2 linked regions of the Caenorhabditis elegans genome follow. The protein of the gene in region 1 interacts with the protein of each later gene in a pairwise test. Each region holds a gene or a part of one and is shown in the gene's direction. Other genes may lie near its edges. The genes, in order: Y106G6H.6 and srv-4.

Region 1 (4,981 bases):
TTGCAATTATCCCGCTTTATTACAAATTTTGATCGTTTATTCATTAAATATGGTATATTTCAAGTTTTGTGTACCCAACGACTGAAAAAACGAAAAAAAAAACACCGATGTGATATTGAAAAGATGGGAAAATTGAGATATTAGGCCATTTTGAGACCAAATTTCGTTACTCCACTTTTTAAATAATTATAAACTCACGTGTTTCTCAAAAGGCTCCACAACTAACATGTTTACAAGTGTATCATTGATCTTATCGATGAGAATTTTAGTAAATCGTTCAATTTCTGCGGATAAATGAGAAAGCCCTTCCACTCGTGATAATCGTCCATTTATCAGCTCTCCTGAAAAATGTAAAATACATAAAATCGCGAATATTCCCATCGCTAATAGGGCCGCAGCGATTTTATAGTTCTCTATCTCTCTCTCTCTCGATTTCTTTTCTCCATCATTTTCATTCAAAAACTCACTAGACTCTGTAACAGTATCAGCTGCCTGTTGGTATTGTTCTTTTGAGATTAGATTCTCGATTTTTGATGGAGCTTCTCGAAGTTCTTCTCTGAAAAATATAGAAATTTCAGTGTATTAAATATTAATTTTTGTTTACAATTTTGCCATAATCTCGCAAACTGATTTTTGCTGTGCATTCTCGTGCCACAGCTTTTTCAGGTCATCCCTCCGTAATTCCAATAAGCTTTTGACTGTGTGTAGGGCATTCCGAACATTGTGAATACGTTCTCGACAATCTGAAAATTGAATTCAAAAGTACTTTTTTAAAATTTAATCTCTTACTTGATATTTTTGAAGAAACATCTCGAAATGAAACTAAACATTTTTCGACGTCTTGTTGATGATCTGAACAATTTTATGTATTGCTGAAAGAATAAAAAAGGTTTTACTTTTAACTAAACGATCGATTAGTGCTCCAGATTCTTTATATCCTTTTTCTAATCTCGATTTCTCTACTTCTCGTTGATCTTCCGAAACTGACGATGTTAGTGATCGGATTACATTTATTAAAAGACCCGTTTCGTTTGACTGAAATATCAATTTTAAACTAATAATCCGTTTTTCGATAGCTCACGTTCGATGTTGCTCTCTCTGCAGGCAATGGTCGATGCCTTCTAGCGGCCGCCACCGGAGTAGCCCCGTTTTCGTTCATAGGAAGCTCTCAATCTGAAATAAAGTTTATTAATATGTGATTTCGCCCAATAAAATGTACGAGAAAACAAGTAAACAATTGATCACACAACGGCCTAGGTTTTCATTTGACGTCGGCCGCCGGTCGCGAATATATCGAACGCGAATAGCCGGGAGCACGCTGGGCAGTGTAATACGCATGGATACACTTGCTTTTCTATTAGAAATTGGAAAAAACACATTTTTTTTATTTTTCTTTAAATAAATTATGAGATTTTAAAGTAAATTAATTTGCAAAAAATAAATAAATAATAATGAAAAACCGTCAACAAATAGAAAATCCGATAATGCAACAATTAATTAAATTTTGTCCACGAGGAGAACACAATATATATCGTGACGAGAGCCGCTGTGTTCCATCAACAATGCGCCTTTAAAAAATACAGTACTCCGCTTGTGTTAAAATTCATTTTCCTTTTTCTCATTTTACTTCAACTTTCTCTTCGTTTATTTGATAAATACGTATTTAAACATTCATTTTTGTCAGAAATATTTATAATTTCAGCTATTCGCTCCATCTCTCCCGTTAATCCTGGAAAAACGACTGCATGAGCTTGCAGAGCTTCTGAGAAAAAGTATAAAAGGAAGCTCTGCCATGACGGAACCAAAAGAAGAACGAAGGGAAAGGAGAATGTCATCTCCGATAATGCCTGAAAATATGTCTGATTTTGATTTAATAGTTGGAGAAATCGAAGCGGAAAACGGAGCGGAAGGCAGTGTACGTTTTGCACATTATTTGATCTACCCGGGAATTTCTGCTGTTAATTCAGCGGAAAATACACATTTAAATAGTTTTTCTCCACATTTAACATTTTAACCCACAAAATTTCCAAATTTTCATGATTTTCAGTTCCAAAGAGCTGCCGAGTGCTTCAAGCTAATAGAAGATCGTGTGTCGGAAGATCCAGATCTCAGCGAAATAATGGAAAATATTCGAATGAATCAAGGGTGTGAAGTTAGTGGTATGTCAACTGGTCTTTCAAGTACGGCCACAACGGTTTCGTCAAAAATGGCATCCCAATGGATATCCCATATGAAAAGAAGTTTCAAACGTCGCGCAATTTGTCTTTCAGAAGAGCAGCAATCTGCAATGCGGAAGATGGTTACCGAGGTAAGAATATAAATACTTTTTAATGCTAGTTTGTTCTCCCCAGCCAAAATTTTTAAAACAATAAAAAACGTCCCGTTTCCCCTATTTGAATGGACCCTAATAATGCCGCCAGGAATTATACACTCAGCATGGCCCAGCGGACCTCGCCGTACGCGACATTCTGTTGCTGTATAGCCGAGGTCTTGAAGCACATCACGATGGACGTTATCGAGAGATGTTCGAACGATTACGGCCATGTATTCCATACTTCAACACCAATGTTCTCGTCTGGATTCGGATCTCAGAAGCTTTGATTTATGAGTATTACGAGGTGAGAATTGATCATTCTCAGCAGAGTAGGGCGGAAAATTTATAAAATTCATTTCTCCCATAGCTATTTTTCAGGAATTTCTTTCCGAGCATTAAAAGTAACATTATGTTCAGAAATTGGAAATATCTATATTTCTATCTAAATTTCCGAAAGAAAGAGAGCCACACTTCTCTGAATCTCCGCACCATCTGAACAACTAACTTTAATTTTTAATTTCAGGAGACTTGGGAGTTCAATGATATCTACGATCGTCTTTTCGAAAAGCAACCTCATCATTATATGCCATCGGTACGGCGGCGATGCAACGAAATGCGACCTCGACATCCGGATATGACTCTTCGATTCGCTGAAACAGCTACACTGATGTGCTTCGCTTTGGCAAAACAATCAAGCCGAGAACCTGTCCATTATGCTGCAGCGGCTCTTCACGGATTCATGCTTCTCAAATTAAGAAAATATTCGTAAGTTTCAGCTGCCTTTTAGATACAAAAAGAATGTTTATTTGTGCTACTGCTACAGCGGGAGCAATAATTTTCAAGAAAAAAAAACGAATTTTTTTGACCCCAAAACGCCCTAAAATCCCTATTTTTGAAATGAATCGTCTTGAAAATTTTAATTTTTTTTTCATGACAACCTAAAATTTTCGTCAACTTATAATTATTTTTTCATATTTTGGCCGCTTGTGACGGGGTTTTTAGTCGTTTAAAATGTCTTATCCACGAGAAAACATGTAAAAAAAACCAAAATGTGCAAAAATGAGTGATAATTAAATAATTTCCAGCAACTGCAATACTGTAAATTCGGCAATAGAAATCTAATACATTCTTATCAACTCATAAATCATAAAATTTGGGTTTTTCGGACCCATGTTGGGAAAAAAGCGATGATGTATTTCTTAACCCACTGTTTTTTATTCCAGGGAAGCCATAGAAGCTGTAAATTTCGCCGTAGAACGGTACGATCGAGCCGGTGAGTGGCAGGATGATTTGGCGATTCTTCTAACATACAAAGCTGAAGGAATGATCGGAATAGGACGCTACAATCGAGCAATCGAATATGCACTGCGAGTGATGAATGCTGCAAAATGTGCTCGAGCACGGCAGCGAGCAACTATGCTGGTAGTCATGGCATATATGCGAAAACGGAACTATCTAAAGGCACATGAATATGTTATTGTAAGTTTTGAAAGGAAAAGAGATAATTTTAAAAATTAAATAATTATTATTTCAGAAGCTTCTCAAAGAAGGAAAACTCGACGAAGTGATGCTCGAAAACGTGGCTTTACTTGGATTAAATCTGGCTCATCTAATGGGAAATATGAAGTTGTTCAAGCGATTCGAATCAATGTTACAACGAATCGTTTATTAATAATAATTGATCGATTGATTGTCATTAACTAAGTTATATCCTGAATCTACAGATTCTCATTTTGCTCTAATATTATGTTTCAATAATCAGTTTTTTTTCTCTTTTCTTTCATCTCATCATCGTTTCAACGCGTCGTTCTTTTTTGCCGTTTACGTAAAAAATATATAAATTTTTACAAGAACATTCAATTGAAGTTAGAATAAAGGGTCTATACACCCTGTTTTAAATACTTTTTTCTTTCGAAAGTACTTCTCACTATATTCAAGAAATTCGAGCAATTTTTCAGGATTTGTACATAAATGTGATGATTGGACATCGGTTAGCGAGGTGGAGATGGGCAAGAAGCTACACAACGTATGTAAAAAGCGACTTCAAAGCTGTTTTACGCTGAAAAAAATTTCAACCTGAAAATAACTGAAACTGGCACGAAACGAGCGACATTTTTTATGAAAAAAGAAACCAAGTTTTGCTAAAATTGAAGTTTCGTAAAATAGTCCCTGTCGCAGCGATTTTCACTCTTAATTGCAAATTTGTGTCGTGAATGTCGCATTAATAAGTCGATTCAGGTACATTTTAAGTCGATATGCATCAGAGTAATAATTTAATAAAAACTGTATTTCAGCTGCTACGGCGAGAACAAATTCAAATTCTATCAAAACTCGGCTTTTTTTTCTGTTGAAATTTTGAAGAATTTTTTTTTGATTTCAGAGCAGTCGCCAACGCTGATGTCGTGGTGTGTGGCGGTGGAATATCGGGAACATCAATCGCCTATCACCTAGCGAAACGGGGAAAGAAGGTGGCACTCGTTGAAAAAGATTCGTATGTTTTATCTGAAATTTATCTCTAAATAACTGAACATTTTAGAATTGGATGCTCCGGAGCCACGGGACTCTCAGCCGGTTTGGTTTCTTCGCCGATTTTCTGGCAAGACACGAGCCTTCAAGCAATTGCTCAAGCTTCACTCGACTTGTACTCACATCTCGCCACAACTTGCA
Region 2 (5,330 bases), on another chromosome or scaffold:
AATTTTCTTCTGGTTGAGTAAACATTTGGAAATAACGACCTTCATCAGAGAATGTTATAATCGCTAGAGTTTCTTCGTTTCCCTGAACTACATAAACTTCTTGAGCTGCAATATTTTCTTGGGCATTCAATTCAAACTCTAGAACTGTCGTCTCATATTTCAAACCAGCTAGTAGTCTATTTATGAATGGTCGTAGATGGCGGTTTAGTTCTGTTGATATTCTCGCCGAAAAATGTTTCAATAAAGGGTTGGACCCGTTCATCCAGTGCTTTATGAATAAGTTCAGTACGTTTGGAGTCAGTATGCATTTGACTCGTAAAATACAACAATTGATGATCAATAAATCATTAAGAGTTAGAGGATAGTTGGATGGGATTTCAAGAATTTTAAGATTGTGTTGAAAGGTTTCTTGAACTTCTTGATAAGTTTGAATTGAATTGTCGGGTAATGGATACCCTTTAAAGACGATTTGCTCAGCATTTGATTTCAGCATTTTCAGATTTGAAGTACTCCTTTTAAATGGTTTTAAGTGAAGACATTGGAATTCCAATCCGTGCAGCTCTTTTTGTATCCACCGAAAACTGTTCTTGTTGAGGTAGACCTCATCAACCACTCGTTGATGGAATATACAAATGTATCACAAATTCATTCACCTTCAATTTCGGATTAACTCATCGGAATTGAGTTGGAGTGCATTTGCTGACGGTTGGCAGTACACCATTCAAAAATGAATGTGGGTTATTAAACATTCCCGCAAAAATACGATCACGGTTTGATGGATCTGTGAAAACGAAGGATTTTTGAGTTTCCAGACGTGAAGGAGAGACAGATTCTGAAAATAAATCATGTTCTAAAAATAACAAAAACCATTTTTTATTTGCATAGATAATTTTTTACTGGCATTTTCTGTCAAAAAGGTTACTCAAAATTTTTTAATTAGTCGAATTAACGAATCTAGACTTGTTTACCAAATAATTTAAAATTACAGTTCATCGTTTTGGATTTAATTTCGAACTCACAAAGATAACAGATCCATCGATTTCAAAGCATTTCTCAGCTGTCTAGGTGGTAGATTCAAGATTTGAAAAGGAACTTTATCCATTTGGGATAATTCAAATTATAGTAGAAATGCTAAACGATGAGAAGAGCAAGGAAGGGGCTAGCCGCCTGACAGGCAAGTTGACTCGCGGCAGGTATCCTGCGGAAGCGAGCCACGAGGAAATAGTGTTAAGCGATGAAGAGACCCATACATTGTTAGCTAATATATTCGGCTATTCAAATTTTCCGAAAATCTTGTCCTGGATGCGGGAATGAGAAAATATTCCGTTCTCGCAATTTTTGTATTTGTATATGAATTTTGTATAGTTACACAACAATTTTAGTCAGAACAATGATATTCCTCGGGATCATGTGAAACAAACTGGTCTCGTCAAACGTTGAAATTAATGTTTGTTGCCATCTTGTTTAATACTTTACTTTCCTTTTTCCAATTTTCCCCAACACAACACAAAAATCACCTGCTCACCCTCTCTCAATCTCTCAAATTTTCTCTCTCAACTTTTCTTATTTTCCCACCATTCTTCATATCTTCTTGGAATGACACGTGTTTTTGGTTGATGTCCTAAAAATGCCGCTCTCCATAAATCTAAGTCTACTCCCAATAAGTCATTTGATATTTATTCCGATATGCTGGTTTTCTGTGTTTTTGTACCTGCGGGTTTTGTATATTATTCACCAATTAAGAAAAAATGTTTTCAAATCGTCGTTTTTCTTGATTATCAGGATGCATGTAAGTTGAGAGGTTTCTTCTTGGGACAGTGCCTTAGAATCATGCTGCATCGGTCCATTTTCCCATTGAGCAAATTTAAAAAACCCCTAGAATTTTAGGCTATCACGGACCTCCTTATGTTCCTATACGTGGAGCTGGTTGCTCGCCCACGCAAATACCGAGTTCATAACCTATTCGAAGCAGCAAACGATCATTGGATTCCTCAGCTGTTGTGGTTTTCATTGACAGTTATCAAAAATGCCATGTTCCTAGGGTATACGGTAGTTGCCGTCAATCGGTGCTCCGAGATATTTCGGTTTAGGAATCATGTAAAGGTACATTTCGGCTTTATGAGAAATTGGTGTAATTTTCTGTGAACTTTTAATAGAATTTTCCATATATATTGGTCAAATGTTGAGCTCTTTAGGTCAATGTCCTGTGAAATTTGCTTGTTAATTTCGTAGCTTCTTACCAACTTTCTGTAGCTATTTTTTTTTTGGAGAAAATAAAATTTATTTAAAACAACCATTTTCTCACAAAGATCACTTCGACTTTATGTTCTCCACAAGTGGCTAGTTGTTTGATGATTGTATGAGTCCGAGCAGGAGCAGATGTTCCATATGTGCATCGTGATGACCAGTCATGCAAGAGCATCCAGCAGCAGCTTCATCATTGCAGTGTGCTGACCATTGAGCCCAGCAGCTTCAGGAGGAATCCATTGAGCATCCGGGAGAAGTGAAGAGCCATGTCGTTGATTTATGAAGTAGCTTTTTGGCATTTTTGTGCGTTCTTGGTAATTTTTTGTAACTTTCTGTAGCTTTTTTGAAAATTTATTATAACTGTATGTGACTGTTTGTAGCTTTTTTTAATTTTCTGTAATTTCTGTAACTCTGTACCTTCTTCACAATTTTATGAAGATTTTGCCAGCATTTTATAATTTTTTGAAACTTGTTGTAGCTGTTATCCAACTTTCTGTAGCTATTTGGCAATTTTTTGAGAGCATTTCAAATCTTCTTGTAACTTGTTATAGCTTTTTGGCAACTTTTTGTACCTTCTGCGATTTTCTGCAACTTTCTGTAACCTTTCATCAATTTTCTACCTACTTTCCGTCGAATTTCTGCCCCCTCTCCACAATTAAACGCCAATTTTCTACGCAACTTCCTTTCATTCAAAATTTTCCAGTTCTGGTCTCCAACCCTTATCCTAATAGTTTACTTATCTGAATGGCTGGCTCCAACAATTGTATTAATTCCACTATTCTACACTGGAAATCACAATTTCTCACTCATCGCTGCCCCTTCTGGCGGATTGTTTCTACGCGCCAGTCCGGAGTTCATCAAAGTCTGACATGTCTGAAATTTTTTTAACTTTTAAATTTTTCTAGCTAGATGTGCTCCAGGACCTCACTTTATCGATATTTTGCTTCCTGGTCAGCTCATTTTTGTATCTCATCACTTTTGTGCATTTGGTGCAGACTTTGCCGAAAACTGTGGGTTACTGTAGCTTCAAAAGTACGCAAACACCTAGAGATTGAAGAAAACTTCTAATTATACATCATGCTCGAGCAGAGAAACCAAAATGTTCCCGGAATCACATTAATAACTTAAAATGTAATGCCAAATCTAAAAAATATAAACATAAATAATATATTTTGTCAGTTCAAGAATGAATATTTCGAAAAGAAATTACACCTGTAGTCAAACGAAATTTTTTTACACACTTGAAACTTTTGAGAATAAATTTTGAAATGCATAAACTAAACGTTTTCTGTCAAAATAAAAAAAACCAGGTGTTTCTAGCATTAATTTAAAAATTTCTAGGTTACTCTAGCGCTAAAAGTACGCAAAAACCAAGTGACTGCGTACCAAACACCATAGGTTACTGAGAGCTTTCAAGCTGAAATTATTCGACAAGACTAATTGAATAACAGCGAATACAAACTTCTTACCTAAAATTTTCAGTTCATTCAGTATTACTTTCAGATGTCAAACACATTCTTCAGTATTAATCGATCGGAATCTTCAAATCTCAACCCACCAACAGACCTAATTATTTTCAAATGTGCATTTTTCTCATTTGTTCTGTTTGTGCCAAATTTCGCAAAAACAATGGTTTTATATTTCTCCACTAATCCTCAACTGGTGGATATTGGAACGGAACTTTGGTAGGATTTGAGAAAAATTGCTGAAATTCAAGTTTGGAACTGGAACTTTCCAAATTTGCATTCAATCCAAGAATCTCTGTCAAATTTCAGTGGAATTCCAAAAAACGAGAAGTCCCTAGCTTGCATTTGAAAATTTTGGGGCTACTGTAGCGTCAAGAGTACGCACGATTGCGTACCAAACACCGAAATTCACGAAACTGATTTTAAATGAAAAATTTTCAAAAAAACAACAATAATGAAGTTTATCCCGAAGTTTTGAAGAAAATGACTGAAAAATTACTACCAAATTCTAAATTTCACAACTCTTGTCAATTTGAAAGCATATTCTGAGAATCTTAAAACTTCCGGATCACTGTAGCGCCAAAAGTACGCAAACGCAGAATGATTGCGTACCAAACACCGTTTTTTGTGAAACTTGGAGCTTTCGAGCTTAAAATTGATGGATACGCAAATTGAAACATGGTGAATTTGAATTTCACATCAAAAAGTTACGAACATTTCATTTTCCCAGGTTCTTCACTACGGAAATAATGTGCATCAGTTCTCCGTGGAGCTTACTAGTGAGTAGCTCAAAATTGCGAAAGGAATTTATACCGAAAAGGTTGGTTTTTAAGAAAAAAAACTAAAAATAATTTTGAAATTTCAAAGTTTCAGATGCAGAAAACGACAGGAAAATATTTCTTCAATGTTGTCTACTAGATTTTAATATTTTTACTCGACTGCAATGTTTTTTTTGTGTTTTAATTTGTGAATAGTCTTGTAAAAAAAATTGTAAATTTTTAGAAAACAATTGTATATCAATTTGAAGTAGACAGTATGAAACCCGTTTTTTAACTAGAAACACTTTCAGAATTGACATGCTCCATCTTTTTTTCTGTAAGTTATAGGTCTGTTATCATCAATGTTGCGAAACTGTTTGCATAGATACCAAAGACTGTATTAATGTTGCCATTTTCTTTCTACTCTGATAATGCGAGCATGATTTTTGACGAAGGGTTGTTTGATATTATTTGCTCATTGACTCTCTTCATTAGGGAAATGATTAATAGTTTTTCAATGTTGTCGAATCAAAAATATACCTATTTTTTGGAAGTCGTCGATCAAAAAACATTTTTCTACCTGTTTTATGTTTTAATTATATTCATATTTCAAAATTGTAGGGGTTCGAAAAGACGCCTGTGCTTTACATTTTTAAAGTTTCAGTATTTCTTTCCCCAATAGCCGTACTCTGCCGTATAAGTTATGTTATGTAACCCAGCGGTGGGTGACAAACTGGCAAATTGCCGATTAGCCGAATTTGCCGAAAAAAAAGGCAAATTGTTGTTTTGCACATTCTTTTTTGAAGCTTTAGAATTTCAATTTTAGTCTGCGAAACTGTACGCATAATATGAATTTTTC

The links.
Region 2: the proteins of Y106G6H.6 (region 1) and srv-4 interact in a two-hybrid assay, tested with the Caenorhabditis elegans proteins (one large-scale study listed by BioGRID).

Annotation. Positions count from the first base shown.
Region 1 is NC_003279.8:10,442,855-10,447,835, reverse strand, and holds Y106G6H.6 (TPR_REGION domain-containing protein), read left to right. Parts: upstream 1-1,792; coding exon 1,793-1,915; intron 1,916-2,047; coding exon 2,048-2,308; intron 2,309-2,420; coding exon 2,421-2,618; intron 2,619-2,837; coding exon 2,838-3,079; intron 3,080-3,537; coding exon 3,538-3,793; intron 3,794-3,848; coding exon 3,849-3,986; 3' UTR 3,987-4,169; downstream 4,170-4,981. Other genes in the region: sec-8 (Exocyst complex component 4), read right to left, coding at 199-341, 468-556, 605-743, 790-852, 897-1,035, 1,082-1,159; pdpr-1 (DAO domain-containing protein), read left to right, coding at 4,291-4,340, 4,695-4,805, 4,851-4,981.
Region 2 is NC_003282.8:4,284,730-4,290,059, reverse strand, and holds srv-4 (Serpentine Receptor, class T), read left to right. Parts: upstream 1-1,627; coding exon 1,628-1,789; intron 1,790-1,887; coding exon 1,888-2,103; intron 2,104-2,950; coding exon 2,951-3,109; intron 3,110-3,152; coding exon 3,153-3,257; intron 3,258-3,750; coding exon 3,751-3,932; intron 3,933-4,443; coding exon 4,444-4,533; intron 4,534-4,586; coding exon 4,587-4,638; downstream 4,639-5,330. Other genes in the region: F15E6.5 (F-box associated domain-containing protein), read right to left, coding at 1-493.